2 linked regions of the Alligator mississippiensis genome follow. The protein of the gene in region 1 purifies or fractionates together with the protein of each later gene. This does not show direct contact. Links are inferred from orthologs where the notes say so. Each region holds a gene or a part of one and is shown on either strand. Other genes may lie near its edges.

Region 1 (7,496 bases):
GTTTTCCAATCTTTTCCGGCCCATGGCATACTGGCCGGATGCGGAGTGGGAGGGGGGTGGCACAGGGCTGGCCAGGGTGTGGTGCAGGTGCACAGCTGCAGTGGCAGTACTGCCTGGAGCCATGCCCAGCCAGAAGCCACACCCCGCCCAAGATTTCACGGCACACCTGTTAATGTCTGATGGCACACGGGTTAGGAAACACTGGCCTAAACCCTTTCTGAATCTGGCAAAGTGCCTGGTTTAACGACACCCTGTGTCTGTAAGTTCCACAATCTAATGACGTGATGAGAAAATATCATGAGAGAATATTTCCTTTTATAATTTTTTAATTTCCCATCTCTAAGTTTAATTGAATATTCCTTTGCTTTTGCATTACTAGACAGGGTGTATTTGTTTTCCCTATCTACCTCATCTAGTCCATTCACTACTAAATATGTACATTAAACTTTCCTTTGGAAGGTCAACAATTCCAGTCTTCTGTCTGTCTATATATGAGAACTTCTTTTTGCCTGTAATCATTTCTGTCACCTCTCTAAATCCTCTCAAATTCTATAATATATTTTGTGATATGCAGCATTTCAGATGAGGCTTCATTATTGATATGTATAATGGACAGGATAAAAATACAAGGAAAAAAATTACATCAGTTTCATACATGTCCTAGCAATATAGGGTTACCATATTTCCAGTACCAAAAAAGAGGACACCTGTGGAGGTGAGGGGTTATATGTTTGGGGGGGGGGGGCAGTGATATGCCTGGGTCCTGCCTCTGCTCTTCACTCCCAAGCCCTTGCCACCCCCAGCCCTGCTGGTGCCTGTACCTTAGTCCTGACCTGCAGCCCCTGCCCCCCCCCCCCCCCAGCCTTGCTGTCCACGCAGCGCGCACACACACACACAAAATCTGTCTCTCTTACCTGGGAGCGTGCCGGGCCTGCATGCAGGCCACATGACCCCTGACAGCCAGTCACCTTGCCTGCTGCTCTCAGCCCCAAACAGCCAGCGTGAGAAAGCAGAGGCAAAGGCAAAAACTGGAACATTTGCTCTCATTTCAAAAACCCATCCCAACACAAGGACAGGGGGCCAAAAAAGAAGATATGTCCAGTAAAACCTGGACATATGATAACCCTACATCTTATTTGCTGCCTTGGTCACATGTCCACTTTGAACCATGGTCTTCATTGACATGCAGGTCCTTTTCTTGGGTGGATGAATTAATCTGCATTCAACCATACTAAGGACGGAGGGTAGCGGGGGGAGGGAAAGGTGACTGTGTGTAATTCAAAATGGACAGTCCAGGATCTGGTACTTCCCATTAGAGAGACGGGTCAGAAATTGTTATATCCTGCTAATCAAAACCATACAACATTTTGTGTTGCAAGACGAAAATGTTTAGCTGCAACTGAAGAAATTGGGTGTTGTCTTTCCTCTTAATAAATTAAATCATTTGAGTCATTTGCAGGTGCAGCAAACCACAAGAGATTTCTCTTTTTAAAAAACATTTTTTTAACTAACATTTACTGACTTAATATGATTTATGATTTTACAGAACACTAGAAACAAGTCTCCCAAAACAAAATGACATCAAAGAAACATGATCTAGGACACACAAAATCATGAGAGAGTGTGTAAACAGTATTTATCAACATTTGCTTATTTAGCAATGACAAAACAACATACTTTTGTCTATCCCTCTCTACTGCTAGTCCACTTCCTGTCTGCCCAAGTTGTTTTTTTCATCGTCTCAAAATAATTATCCCTTATATTTTTACCAAGATTATTTGTACCATACAAATAGGCAGATACTATCAGAACAACTTCTGTTTGCCAAGTGTTTGGCAGGATGAAATTAATCAATTTTTCCAGTACAAATATCCAAGTGATATTACTCGCTATGGTTTTACTTGAATCTTCATCCTTATAGGTGCAGTTAAAATGGAAAACACATTAAATAGGCATTTTTCCTTGAAGCATAAATTAAGGATCCTCTATAATAATCCTAACTTTTCTCATTTTTTTCTGCATCAAACAGGGTTTGTGGCTGATCTTTTAATGTTTCCATAGAGCCACCACATGGACTCATATCCCAAAGGATATCTTTACATACAACTCTTGGTTTAAGTGAATGCAGAAAGCAGAATACAGAAATATGTTTTGTTGATTTCTTCTGAAACTACAAGATTCTCAGCTAGACTGTCTTACTCCTTAGCTCAGGAGTAAAATCATTTGGTATCAGGAAATAATTTAACCCCATGATCAAATCTGCACGGACTGGGGCAGGGGAAGGGAGGTTGCCTTCCTCTGATGCAGTATGGTCCCCTTTCTTGGATCTCTTGAGCAGACAAGGTTCTTTAGGTAAATCTGATATCTTTTATTAGACCAACTCAAAACAGTTGGAAAAAAAAATCTTTTTTGCAAACTTTTGGGCACCAGCACCCTTTGTCGGGCTGAGGAAGCATCTCCAGTCGGTGTGTGCTCTTCCTGGATGGAAGGGATAGTAAAGAAGCCAAAGGCTGGCATGCATGCAAGGCAGGCAGTCAGCCTCTGGCTTCTTTACTACTCATTCCATCCAGGAAGAGCACACACCCACTACAGATGCCTCCACAGCCTAACAAAGGGTGTTTGTGCCCAAAAGCTTGCAAAGAAGAATGTTTTCCAACTGAGTTGATCTAATAAAAGATATCAGATTTACCCAAAGAACCTTGTCTGCCCATGTCCTTAGACCAACATAGCTACAACCTACACCCTTGCATCTCTTGAGTGCATTTTAACAAACTACTTTCTGTCCTTGCAGTAGCAGGACACTGACAATGTGCTCATCCCTCTGCTTTACATGTGCCAAGTTAGGGTGGTTTTTGATGTTTTCAGGAACTGTACCTGGTAGTTGTGCAAGAGGGTCGTAGTTTTAAGGTTGGATTAGACCAGTGATTTGCAACCAGGGTGCTACAACATGATGTTATTACTGTTACGTGTGCAAACAGGATTCACAAGATAAACCCACAGATGTCAAATAAGAATCCATAGTGCCAAAGACAGTCTAATCTGTCATGGTCTGTTATTTGCAACAGAAGCATTTTTCTGTAGTAAAAGAAAACCCAGGTGAAAACTAAGAGTGGGCTTTTCTGAGGGGTGTCTCGAGTCTAATGAGGCTGAGAACTACTAGGTTAGATAAACACTTGTTATAGGGGTGCTCCAGCCTCGGGGGGTGGTTGGACTGGATGAGCTCCTGAGGTTCCTTCAAGCTCTACTCTTCTTACGATTCTAAATATTTTCCCTGTTGGTCACTAAGCCAAGTTTAAGAAAAATAGGACTAGTCAACAGATAGCTTTTTCTTTGCTCTTGTGCCCGGCAAGTTGAGATGCTTACCTGTCTTGTATGATGATGTCAGTCCTTTTTATTTGACCATCGATTTTATTGGACTTCTGAAGACTGCATTTTGTGCAAAGGAAGTCATCCCTCAACGCCCACACAGAAACCACAGAACCATTTGGGAAGTTCATTAGTATTGGGAAACTTACCACCTGCAGCTACTGTCATATATCTATTTTGTACACAGGACACGCTTTGTTTTCTGGATATCCCCCCTTTCTCTTGGACTACGTGACAAAATTAATGGAGCAAGTCTGTGTAACAGACTTTCTTGCCAAGAGTCCAGACATTTTTCCTATCTGCCTGTCATTTTAAAATGCCTCCTTCATAAAAGAAACATTTTCAGTTTATTTTCCTACAGATGACACATAGCCATCTGGATTTTGTCAATGTTTTGTTCAATGCCTCTCAACAATATTTTGATGGCGCGGATCCACTGTCTGAAGGCAAGAGACTTTCTGTGAATGAAGTGGGAGTTCGTTCAGCGGAGGGAAAGAGGTTTCAAAGGGCAGCTGTTGTTCCTGCTAGGCACAATACTTGGACACTCGATCTGGGCCAGCGCCACTGCGGATTCAGCTGGACAATGAGTTTCCCAAGGAAATAAGCCAGCACAGTGGAGGGCTACTAGGTTATCTACAACTAAGAAAAGGAGTCGCCTGTCTTGCACAGCCAGAGGCAAAAGAGGACACAGCTGTGACCAGGGGAGTGAAGACAACCAGGGGAAACCCTGTATCTGTAGGGGCCCCCTCTCCTGCCTATTATCTTCCTCCGACTTAAGCGGGCCTGCTCGTCCCAAGATTTTGTTAAGAGCCAGGACGAGGCGGGTCCTGCGCGCCCCGCAGCGGGACAGGGACAGCTCAGCAGCTCGGGCACGGGGCGGGCGGGAGCCCTCCCCCCAGGGCACGGAGCGCAGCCCGGGCCTACCCGGACCCGCTTCCTCGCTCCGGGCCCCGACGGACCAGCCCGTGACCCAATCCGAGGGCCGGCCCCGCCCCCACGGAAATAAGGTCAGAAGGCTCCACAAGCCCCACCCTCCTCCCCGCGGACTGAAGGAGAGCTCCCTCCCCCCGAAACCGGAAGTACCACAGGCCTCCCCTTCCCCCTCTCCAAACCCGGAAGCGGAAGGGGAGACTGGACTTCCCTTCCCCTCGCTCCGGAAGTAGTAGCGGGTTTATCCTCCGGCCCCAAGCCGGAAGTATCTGTGGGTGTTTCTCGCTTGCTCCGCGGCGTAGCGGGGCCCGGCGGGAGCAGGGTGAGTGCGCTGGGGGCCGGGCTCCAGGCTTCCCCGCCTGGCTGACCCCCATCCCCGCGGCATCCTGCCGGCCCCGCCTGGCGCCGGGGGGATTCTCGGGCGCGTCTGTACCGAGGTTACTGCGGAGGAGCGGAGCGCGGGCACGGCCGAGCCGCGAGGCCGAGCGCCGCCCAGACCTGGACCTAGCCCAGGCGAGGGGCCTCGTCGCCGGTTACACTGAGGCCGCGTGAAACCGCAGCAAACGCACGCTCGGTGCCGGCGTCTCGTGCTGAGTGCGATAGTCTCGTGGCCAAGCCAGGGCTGTTCGGGGGAGGCATGTTTCCAGACTGTAACTAGGACCCTGCCCAGTTATCTTCCAGCTGGTCCGCACTGATGAAACCGGCGCAGCTTCCTGTCCCCACCCTGGCACTGTACCAAGGCTTCAACTGGCCCTGGTACCTCCCACACTTTGGGAGCAGTTTGCATGTGTGCTGGAAGAGCCTTGATAGATAAACCAGACAATGTTACCGGTGTCATGTCTCTTACAGAAACACAAGAAAGTAATATGAGAGAGGCTGTACAAGTGACGAGTCTTGTTTTCAATTCAAGGTTGAATAGATGGATTTCCCCCTCTCTTCCCCCCCAGGAGATACTGTGTCAATATCAGGCAGGGCAAGGTTGAAGATGGGGCCTTGAGGTGATGTCAGAAGAGCTTTTGACATTTATCTCTAACATACATTTCTAAATCTTTGCATTAGAAAGAACTCTAAACCGTGCCCTACTTGTCCTAGCCTCTTAAGATGCTGTAGACAGTTGAAGGAGTCTGTATTCTCTAACACTATTACAAATTCCTTTGTTCACAGTTTTCCTGTCAATGGATGTCACTTGATTTTTTCCTTCACCACTGTAAGCCTGGTCTGCTGATTGTATAGCAAGCATGAGTGGCTCCAAGCCTGATATTCTGTGGGCTCCACACCACGTTGATCGATTTGTTGTATGCGATTCTGAACTGAGCCTCTACCTCATTGAGTCTGCTGTGAGTTCGGAACCCAAAGCAGGATCTTTGCGATTGTCAGAAGAAACTGCTGCTACATTGTTATCAATAAACTCAGACACACCCTACATGAAATGTGTGGCTTGGTATCCTAAATACGATCCGGAATGTCTCCTAGCTGTTGGACAGGCCAATGGCAGAGTTGTTCTTACCAGCCTTGGACAGGATCACAACTCAAAATCCAAAGACTTGATAGGCAAAGAATTTGTTCCAAAACATGCCCGACAATGTAATACCCTAGCATGGAATCCACTGGACAGTAACTGGCTTGCTGCTGGCCTAGATAAACACCGGGCTGACTTTTCAGTACTGATTTGGGATATCAGTAGCAAATACACTCCAGAGACTGCAGTTGCCACAGAGAAAGTAAGACTTTCAGCTGGTGATACTGAAGCAGGGCTGGTAGTCACAAAGCCACTTTATGAACTGGGACAGAATGATGCTTGTCTTTCTCTTTGTTGGCTTCCACGGGATCAGAAGCTTCTTTTAGCTGGAATGCACCGAAACCTGGCTATCTTTGACCTTAGGAACACAAGCCAAAAGATGTTTGTAAATACTAAGGCTGTCCAGGGGGTAACTGTAGACCCGCATTTCCATGATCGTGTGGCTTCTTTCTATGAAGGCCAGGTTGCCATATGGGACCTCAGAAAATTTGAAAAACCTGTTTTGACCCTGACAGAGCAACCAAAGCCCCTAACAAAAGTAGCATGGTGTCCAACAAGAACTGGACTCCTAGCTACTTTAACCAGGGATAGTAACATCATTAGATTGTATGACATGCAGCATACTCCCACGCCTATTGGAGATGAAACAGAGCCTACAATCATTGAAAGAAGTGTGCAGCCATGTGACAATTACATTGCTTCCTTTGCGTGGCATCCTACAAGTCAAAATCGAATGGTAGTTGTTACTCCCAACAGAGCGATGTCTGACTTCACTGTCTTTGAAAGGATTTCTTTGGCATGGAGTCCAGTAACTTCCTTAATGTGGGCATGTGGCCGACACTTGTATGAATGCACAGAGGAAGGAAAAGCTAGTTCTTTAGAAAAAGATATAGCCACCAAAATGCGTCTGAGAGCTTTATCCAGGTATGGCCTCGATACTGAGCAGGTCTGGAGAAATCATCTTCTAGCTGGAAATGAAGATCCTCAGCTGAAGTCGCTTTGGTACACTCTGCATTATATCCTTTCAGATGTAAACAGCTGTAGAAAAGGGAGAGAATTGCAAAGGAGCCTTCTAGTCTCTGTAAACTGTTTATGTTATATATTAAATACATAAAGAGCATAAAGTTCAAACAGTGTGGGACACTGCAATACTCTATGAACACTGGGAATGCAGGGAATGAAAAATTCTACTTTTCAGGCAGATAGAAAAAAATTATTGGAGGATGTATGTTTTAAAGTCTGTCTCCTTAACCAGCTGGGATACCTCAAAATATGCTTACCTAGTTGCATAATCAGAATAGCATTTATTTAATTTATATAAATACTGTGTCTTTTTTTCTTTAACTGTAACTCTTCCATTGCTGTTGGTGATATGTCAGTTCCTCAGCTTGAGTTGTGATAACTAATATTTGAAAGGGACTTTGAAGATGAAAAATCTAAAAGTACTAAATATTTAGCAATCAAAAATGTACCCTGAATGCTGCCTATTTTTTAGATAGTTATATAATCTTTTAAATGGAAACTAGTCCATTTAGTGTCATATTTTTAACTATCACTTTGGCAGAATAGAGAGGAAACTGGATATTCCTTGTCCCCTGCTTACTTTCACTAAAGGTTTGTCTAAATGAGGAAATACACTAGCACAGTAATACTGTTATAATACTAAACAAAGTAAGGGCTT
Region 2 (6,960 bases), on another chromosome or scaffold:
CGAGGATGATGCATGAGATTATCCTGTAAGCTCAGAGGTGCCTAATGCACTTGGAGATTTGACACTAGTTAGCACAATTGCAGCTGCTCCTTTAAAGCCAAAAGAGAGATCGGGTGCTTTGAAAAATTAGGGCCATTAGGGGAACGGGGTGCCCCTGGCTAGGGAGAAGAGTTTGGTAGCATGATGTGCCTCCTGCTTCTGCGTTGTTGATTCAGATTCAGACCTGGGGCAGTAGTGACCCTGCACGGTGCCCGTGTCCTCTCTGGTTGGTGGTCTGTACACAAGTCAGCGTGGGGCTCCTGATGGAGAAGTATCTGTTACGAGACCACTCGCCCCTCCAGCTACTGGCAACACGTGTCCGTTCTCACAAAATATACCATACGGCGAAGGGCAAAAGAGGGAGAACTCCCCTTCCCTTCTCTGGGAGCCACTTCCAGCTCAGGTCTGAGGCCTCATGGAGAGAGGCGTTTGCCTTGCTGCTGGCATTACTGCGTCCATCGGGTGAATAAAAGGGATACCATCCTTCAGGACCCAGCTGGCACTATTTGCCAATGTGATGCTTGTCCAGAGCATGTCAAATCTACTGCAATTCAACAGGAGACAGCTGAGGGGAGAAATAGAGGGTGGCATGTTCAAAGCTTCTAGGGGATGTGGGTGCAAAAGGGGCATTGAGATTAATGGAAACTGTGCATCTCACCCTCCTAGGCAGCTCGGGACATCATGGCTGCAAGAGAAGCCGAAGCGGGATGATTCTGGAAGCATTTAGACCATCGTCAGCCCAGGGCAAGTCAATTAATGAGACTGAGCCTCAGTTCCCCATTTGTACCACGGGGAAATAGCAGTGCCCTACTTTGCAGTGGTGGGGGAGGATGCAGACTTGAGCTGGAGAGGACATAAATTCATGTGATGATGGATTTTGAAACGTGGCTTTGTTCTGCATAGGACAGAAACTCCCAAACACGAAGTTAAAGTCAAACCAAACCTCCATTTGGGTGGATGTGTTTTGATTTGACTTTGCATTATAATTTGTAATACGACACACAATTATTTTAAAATAATTGCACAACAGAAACTGCAAACATTGATTTCAAAATGAAGGATCTTGACATTATCAGAATTGTGGTTTGTTCCCAGTTTTCTTCTGAAGCAAAATTCCAGCTCATCAACTTAATTTCACAACCCGCTTTGATTCTGTCAGAGCTGCCCGTTCCGGTGGTAGATGGTGCTGCTGAAGTTTCCTGCGCGGCTCGGTTCAGATACAGGACAGGCTGTGAGTAATTCAGTGGCCACAACCATCTGTGCCACACAGAAATAAGCTTGGTGGGAGTAACATTGAAGCGGATCAAATGCTTTCCAAACAGGGTGAGCTTGTAACGGGGCATCGAAGAGGAAGGAAGAAGATTTAGCCAAAAGCAAGGCCTGATTGTGCCTTGTCAATTATTATTTCAGTTTGCATCATGTAAATAATAGACAAATTGGGCACAGAACTTAACCCTCTTCTTGGCTGTCTCGGGTGTAGGGTAGGTGACAAGTGTGCTGTATGGGGAGCCGATAGGGTTTTGGAATAAGGGGCATTTCACGTTGCAGACAAGCCATCCCAAAAATTACATTCCCATTTCAGCTCGGAGCAATCTTGAGCACAGGTATGTGCTGCCGACATGCCGCTCATTCTTCCCTGATGGCCAAGTCCAGAGAAGCAGCAGGTGATGGTCTGTCTGATTAGGAAAGCACAGGGCTTGGCTCCTGCTGCTTTTGAAGAGCAAGCTCTGAAGCCTGACGGGGAAGGTCAAAACACCCTTGGCACCTTCGAAGGTGTTTTGCAACCACTGGGTCACAACCTCTCTGCAAATGGGGGAGGAGGAGTCTCGTCATCAGGCAGGCGAGGGGGTTGCGATTGAGAAATGTTAGTGCAAAGCAAACACAGGTGCCAGGATAACTCGGGGCCGGCTGAAATCTCCCTTGTTTGTGAAGTCAAATGCAGTGGCTGGGGTTGCCTTATAGCAGCTCATCATGCTTGCATTGTTTTCATTACATAGAAAAGGGAAGAAAGGCCATGAAGATGTCTAGCTTTGAAGTGTCACCCACCCAAAAAGGTTGTGAAAGATGGTTTTAGATCATCAAGTCTGTCCGTGAGTTCTGGGGTCCTTTGTGGATGCGTGCGTGTGTGTTTTCGTGCCTTTTTGGAGGACCCGACGCTTTTGAGAGAGATGCGCGTGTCTATCCTGCAGACTGCAGTGCAGCGTACAATAAAACGAGGTTAGCGCCGGTACTGGAAATAGTCTTGGGGCTCAACAGGGACTGACTTCCCCTGCTTCTAGCTGAGTTTCATGCTGCTACTTGTACACGCCTTCCAGGACCCAAGCTGGCTCACTGAAAGCCAGCTTGTGTGTCTCTGCCCTGCACTGCGGCATAGGCATCCCGGCGTTTTAACCAAGGTCTTCTACCTGAAATAAAACGAGCGCGTGCTGTGCACAACGCTACCCTGAATACGTGGAGCTGCTCAGCTGTTAAAATCTCCCAGGTATCAAATCTCACGGATGGATATTTCCATCCTTCATGGTTTCTTAGGAGCACCAAGTGCACAGCTGTGAGAGTCCAAACGGGGGCTTTTAGTTTCATAGTGGAGATGGGGAAGATTGTGGGATTGCCCATATATATATATGTATATAAAGCTAATGTTTTTAAAGCTTTGTCAGTGTGAGAGCAAGCTAACCCGCACTTGGGTTCTTAATCCCCAAGGCTTTGTCACCAAAGAGAGCTGAGGCAGTGAAAGCTTCATCCCATATTTGTTCCTTTCAGCTGCTTCCTATTGATTTGCAATAAAGGGGATAGGCTTTGGACAAGCAAGCCGGTGGCAAAATGACACCGTGATGAATGTTTCCTCGGCTTGGGTGCCCCGCGCTGTGTGGCAGCCATAGCAGCACATGCCACGATCCTTTCCAGTCGCAGAAGCTGAACAGGATCGGGCCAGGTCAGTATTTGACCGGGGACCTCCTAAACGCTGCAGATGTTGTCAGGGACTCGGGAGGAAGAAACTCTTCCCTGTGACTCAGGATTAAACGAGCATTTCCAAGCGCAGCGTGAGCAGCGCAACGTGCTGCAAAAGCGATGCACCGAAGATGCAAACCAGGCCCATTTAAAATATGATCTCCCTGTGAAAGCACGGGCTGCCAGCGTCTGTACCTCCACCGAGAGGTGGAGCTGTCTTTTCCACTTGGGCGAGGCTGTCGTCTCGCTCGGATATTGCGTTGTTGCCTCCGATAGAGGCTGGCAGAGGAGGGGGCAGGAAGGAAACGAGTCCTGCCTGGGAGTGCTGGAATCCTTGCTGGCCCCCACCGAGCCCTGTGCCGGCTCGAGGCGAGTATTACACCGTGCATGATGCTCACTCCTCTCTCAGGCTCCTTTTGCATGAAGCTGGCATGTCTCTCGCTGCAGGGCTCTTTCTGCTGCCGGCAGGGCCTGTCCTGCCCCCTTGGCATGTTCTCAGTGCCCTGCCCCGAACGGCAGGCGCCAGACCTGGACCAGCTCGGTCTCCCCAAGGCCCTGCACCCAGGTGACACCCCCTGCCTTCTGCTCCCTGCTTTCCCCCTGTACCGACGGGGCTTTTGGTTACAACATCACGCTAGGAGCTCATAACTAACGAGAAACAGGGATCCTCTGAGATGGGGCATCTATGGGGCTGGGGGGAGGTTACATGTGGACAGTGTGGCCCCCTCCTCGGAAGTCCTGCAGGCCGTGGGGCTGGCAGCGCAGAGGACTATGTCTCCCAAAATGTCCTGCTTGGCTCTGGGCTCCGTTTACCTGTGCCGTGGTGCTGGTTTTGCTACCCGATGGCCGGGCAATCCGGTTGCATCAGCTAGGGCTGCTTTCTCGGGGTGATCACGTTGCATCTGCTTGGGATGCTTTCTCAGCCTGCCCAGGCCTGGCCTGACTTGTCCGTCTGTTTGCTTTGCAGAGCACCCAACCGGCTGGCTGAGAGGCAGGAGCTCGCCTTGGGACTGAGCCAGGGGCGGCCGGACCGTGGCGTGAATGGGCCTGCAGCTTTGGAAACTCCCTGTGAAGCAACCGGGAAACCAGCGCCGGCTGACTGGGGGGAAGGCAGCCTCCAAGCCTGGGCCCAGACGAGTCCCCTGTGACTTCCCCGTGGCTGTGCTGCAATGATGGACCACGGGGAAGCTGCGGATGGTGGCACCCCTGTGCCCAGTGCTGTGCCGGCAGGAGAGCAAGGAGCTGTGGCTCCCAGGGGCCTGGATCCTGGGAGATGGGTGGGGTTGTACAGTCGAGGCGAGAGGACCAGAGAAGAAACGATGGATGCGCTGGGGCGGGAGCTGCTGAGCGGCATCCCCAGCACTGGCCCGTCCCAGGGGGAGACGGAGGAGTCCCCGGGCCTCCACCGGACATTGCTGCTGCTACTCCGGCTCTCCCAGAGCTGCCCCTTTGGAGAGACCCAAGAGAAGTGCTCCCAGCTGCTGCAGGCTCTCCAGGTAAGGTGGCCGGGCAGCTCTGGGCACCAGCTGGGTTGCAAGCACACGTCAGCAGCATGATTGCAACATCACTGCACACGTGATGTGCATGATTACGAACATCACTGCACACGTACAGCCCCCTGGTTCTGCTCCTGGCATGGCCGCTACCCCGCCGGGTGTCCTTAGGCAAGTCGCTTCCTCAGTTTCCCCTCCTATACACGGCCTGCCGTGTCTGTGCAGGAGAGCCTGTCTCTCCCCAGGGGTCTGTGCGGCTCGTGGCCCAGTGGAGCCCAGCCTCGGGTCAGGCACCTGCACAGACGTCAGCAGTCACAACAGCTGTCGTGCTGCAGCGGGATGGTTTTGTGCAGTCCTTTGTACCAGGAAAACACCTGGTGTCCTGCTGGAACCGGGCATTGCTCCCTGGCTCATAGGGCGCAGAGCTCCCGTACCCCAGGGCAGCCCCCATACCCCGAGATCGCAGCTTGCACAGCCCTGGGACCAGCCCCAAAGTGGGTGCAGCTGGTTGCAGGGGAGCTGGGATCCTTTCTCCCCATCCTCTTTGCATTGCTCATGGTCTCTGTGCAGTGGGAAGCAAAAGATGTGGTGTTGCTTTAGGCTCCCCCAGCATAGGTACTGGGCTCAGTCTGGCCCAGCATCAGCACACAGCCAGATGCACAGGGGAGCAGGGAGGCCTGGCGTTGGCTGAGGACACGGGACCAACTCCCTGCTCAGCTGAGACCTTGACATGGGCCCGGTGGTGTAGGGCTGTCTCCTGCACAACCACTGACCTCTGCATGACTCCACTTATCTGCTTGGGAAGATGAAGGGCTGATTCACCCCTGAGGCTCCAGCTGGCCAGTCCTCCGGCCAGTGGCTGCCTAAATGTCTGTGGGAAGTGGTGGAGAAATCTGCTGCCCTGGTATCAGATGCTCTTTGCCCTCCCTGGCTTTGTACTGTATCCCCCCATGGGGACACTCCCTGCAGCTGGGAGAGCCCTGTAGATGGGAGGATAGAGCCTGCCGCCTCTCCCAGAGCACTGGTGAGCTCTGAGCTGGGTGCCATGTGCTGGGTAAGGGATGCCCTTTGGTCCCTGCATCACCAGGTTGCTCTGCAGAGCAGGTGCAGTGGCTGCTCCAGTGCTAGCTAGCAGCAAAGGCAGGCAAGCGGGGGGAAAAAAGAAACCCTCTGATGGGTCAGTCCCTTCAAGCTGGCTCACAGGCACGATGCTCAGCAGACCATCCAGGTCACAGCTCTCTGTGACCTTGCTCAGAAACCTCCTCCCCTGTGCGCAAGGATAGCAGCATCCTTGCAGCTGAATCCAGATGAGAGGAAATAGGGAAGTGACTGGAGAAAGGAGCCCTCCAGGGTGCTTTCCGCTGCCCAGAGAGGAGTTACTGTACATTGCATGGTCAGTATGAGTGTTTTGTGCCACATCCGCTGTGCTTGGATGCGACAGCCCTCGGGGCTTGTATCTGTCGATCTACATTGGTAAAAGATGGAGGCAGCTAAATACCAGCATCGCTTATCCCCATCGCAGACAGTACATGCTGTACTGGTTTAACTGGGGAGGTTGTAGTAGTTTTAAGTAATCATCCTGTTACACACCTGAAAACTTTAACACCACGGAGGTTGCTTTGAAGCAAGCCCCCGACCTCTCCTGTATCAGAAGCCAGAAAACGTAACCCCATTCCCTCTGTGTGGCTCAGCCACGTGGATTTGGCTAAAGCGCCTTCCAGAAAGGCCTCCAGTCTGGATGTCTTGAGCAGTACAGAATACACCACTTTTATTATAAGAGTGAATTGCTGTTGCTATTTAAACAAAAAAAAATCCGTGCCGTTGTTTGCACTGTAACTTTGGCAGGCAGACTGGATTCCAGAGAGCTCAGACACGAGTTGTGGCAAGCTCTTTCTGGACAGAAGCATGGCTGGTTTTCAAGCTGATGGCGTGGCTTGAATATCTGCAGGGCATTTGGTTGGGAGAAGCGGTGTGATTTCAAGAGGAATCCGTTGCGGGTGGTTTTAAGATGGAGCCGGCTCCGTTTATACAGCAGGAGTTGGACTGGAGAGCCCTCAAATGTCCCTCCTAGCCCTATTGCCCACGTTGCTCCTGGGGCACCACGCATCCGTGAAGGAGGCCCCGCAGCCCACCCCGCTCTGTGCTGGCCAGGATTCGCTCTTCCAGTGCTCATCAGTCAAGGGACTTGCCCCAGCGAGTTGGTAGCAGAGTCACTAGGCCATGCTGTAACCACTAGGCCATGCATCTTTCCTCGCGCTGCTGTTGGTTGGACTGGGAGGTTGCTGCGAGGGGTGGGAGGGCAGGATGGGGGCCATGAGGGATGGTGTGACATGGGGTAGGTAGTGTCAGCTTGGAGGAGACAGAGGCTTTGGGAGCCAGCCCGTCCAAGGGAAAAAGTGTTCTTCCCCACCCCTGGCAACAGCCCTGGAGGCCCAGGGGGCTGGGCAGAGATAATCAGAGAGGCCCGCTCTCGTTAGCC

The links.
Region 2: the proteins of MIOS (region 1) and SESN2 purify together in Homo sapiens (affinity purification with western blotting; 5 studies listed by BioGRID and IntAct, with this or other methods). This does not show direct contact. The link is inferred for Alligator mississippiensis from reciprocal best matches to the Homo sapiens genes MIOS and SESN2.

The regions. Positions count from the first base shown.
Region 1 is NC_081828.1:170,973,078-170,980,573, reverse strand, and holds the start of MIOS (GATOR complex protein MIOS), read left to right. Parts: upstream 1-4,482; 5' UTR 4,483-4,618; intron 4,619-5,460; 5' UTR 5,461-5,534; coding exon 5,535-6,831; intron 6,832-7,496. UniProt on the Homo sapiens protein: As a component of the GATOR2 complex, functions as an activator of the amino acid-sensing branch of the mTORC1 signaling pathway. The GATOR2 complex indirectly activates mTORC1 through the inhibition of the GATOR1 subcomplex.
Region 2 is NC_081829.1:2,266,056-2,273,015, reverse strand, and holds the start of SESN2 (sestrin-2), read left to right. Parts: upstream 1-3,958; 5' UTR 3,959-4,157; coding exon 4,158-4,484; intron 4,485-6,960. UniProt on the Homo sapiens protein: Functions as an intracellular leucine sensor that negatively regulates the mTORC1 signaling pathway through the GATOR complex. In absence of leucine, binds the GATOR subcomplex GATOR2 and prevents mTORC1 signaling.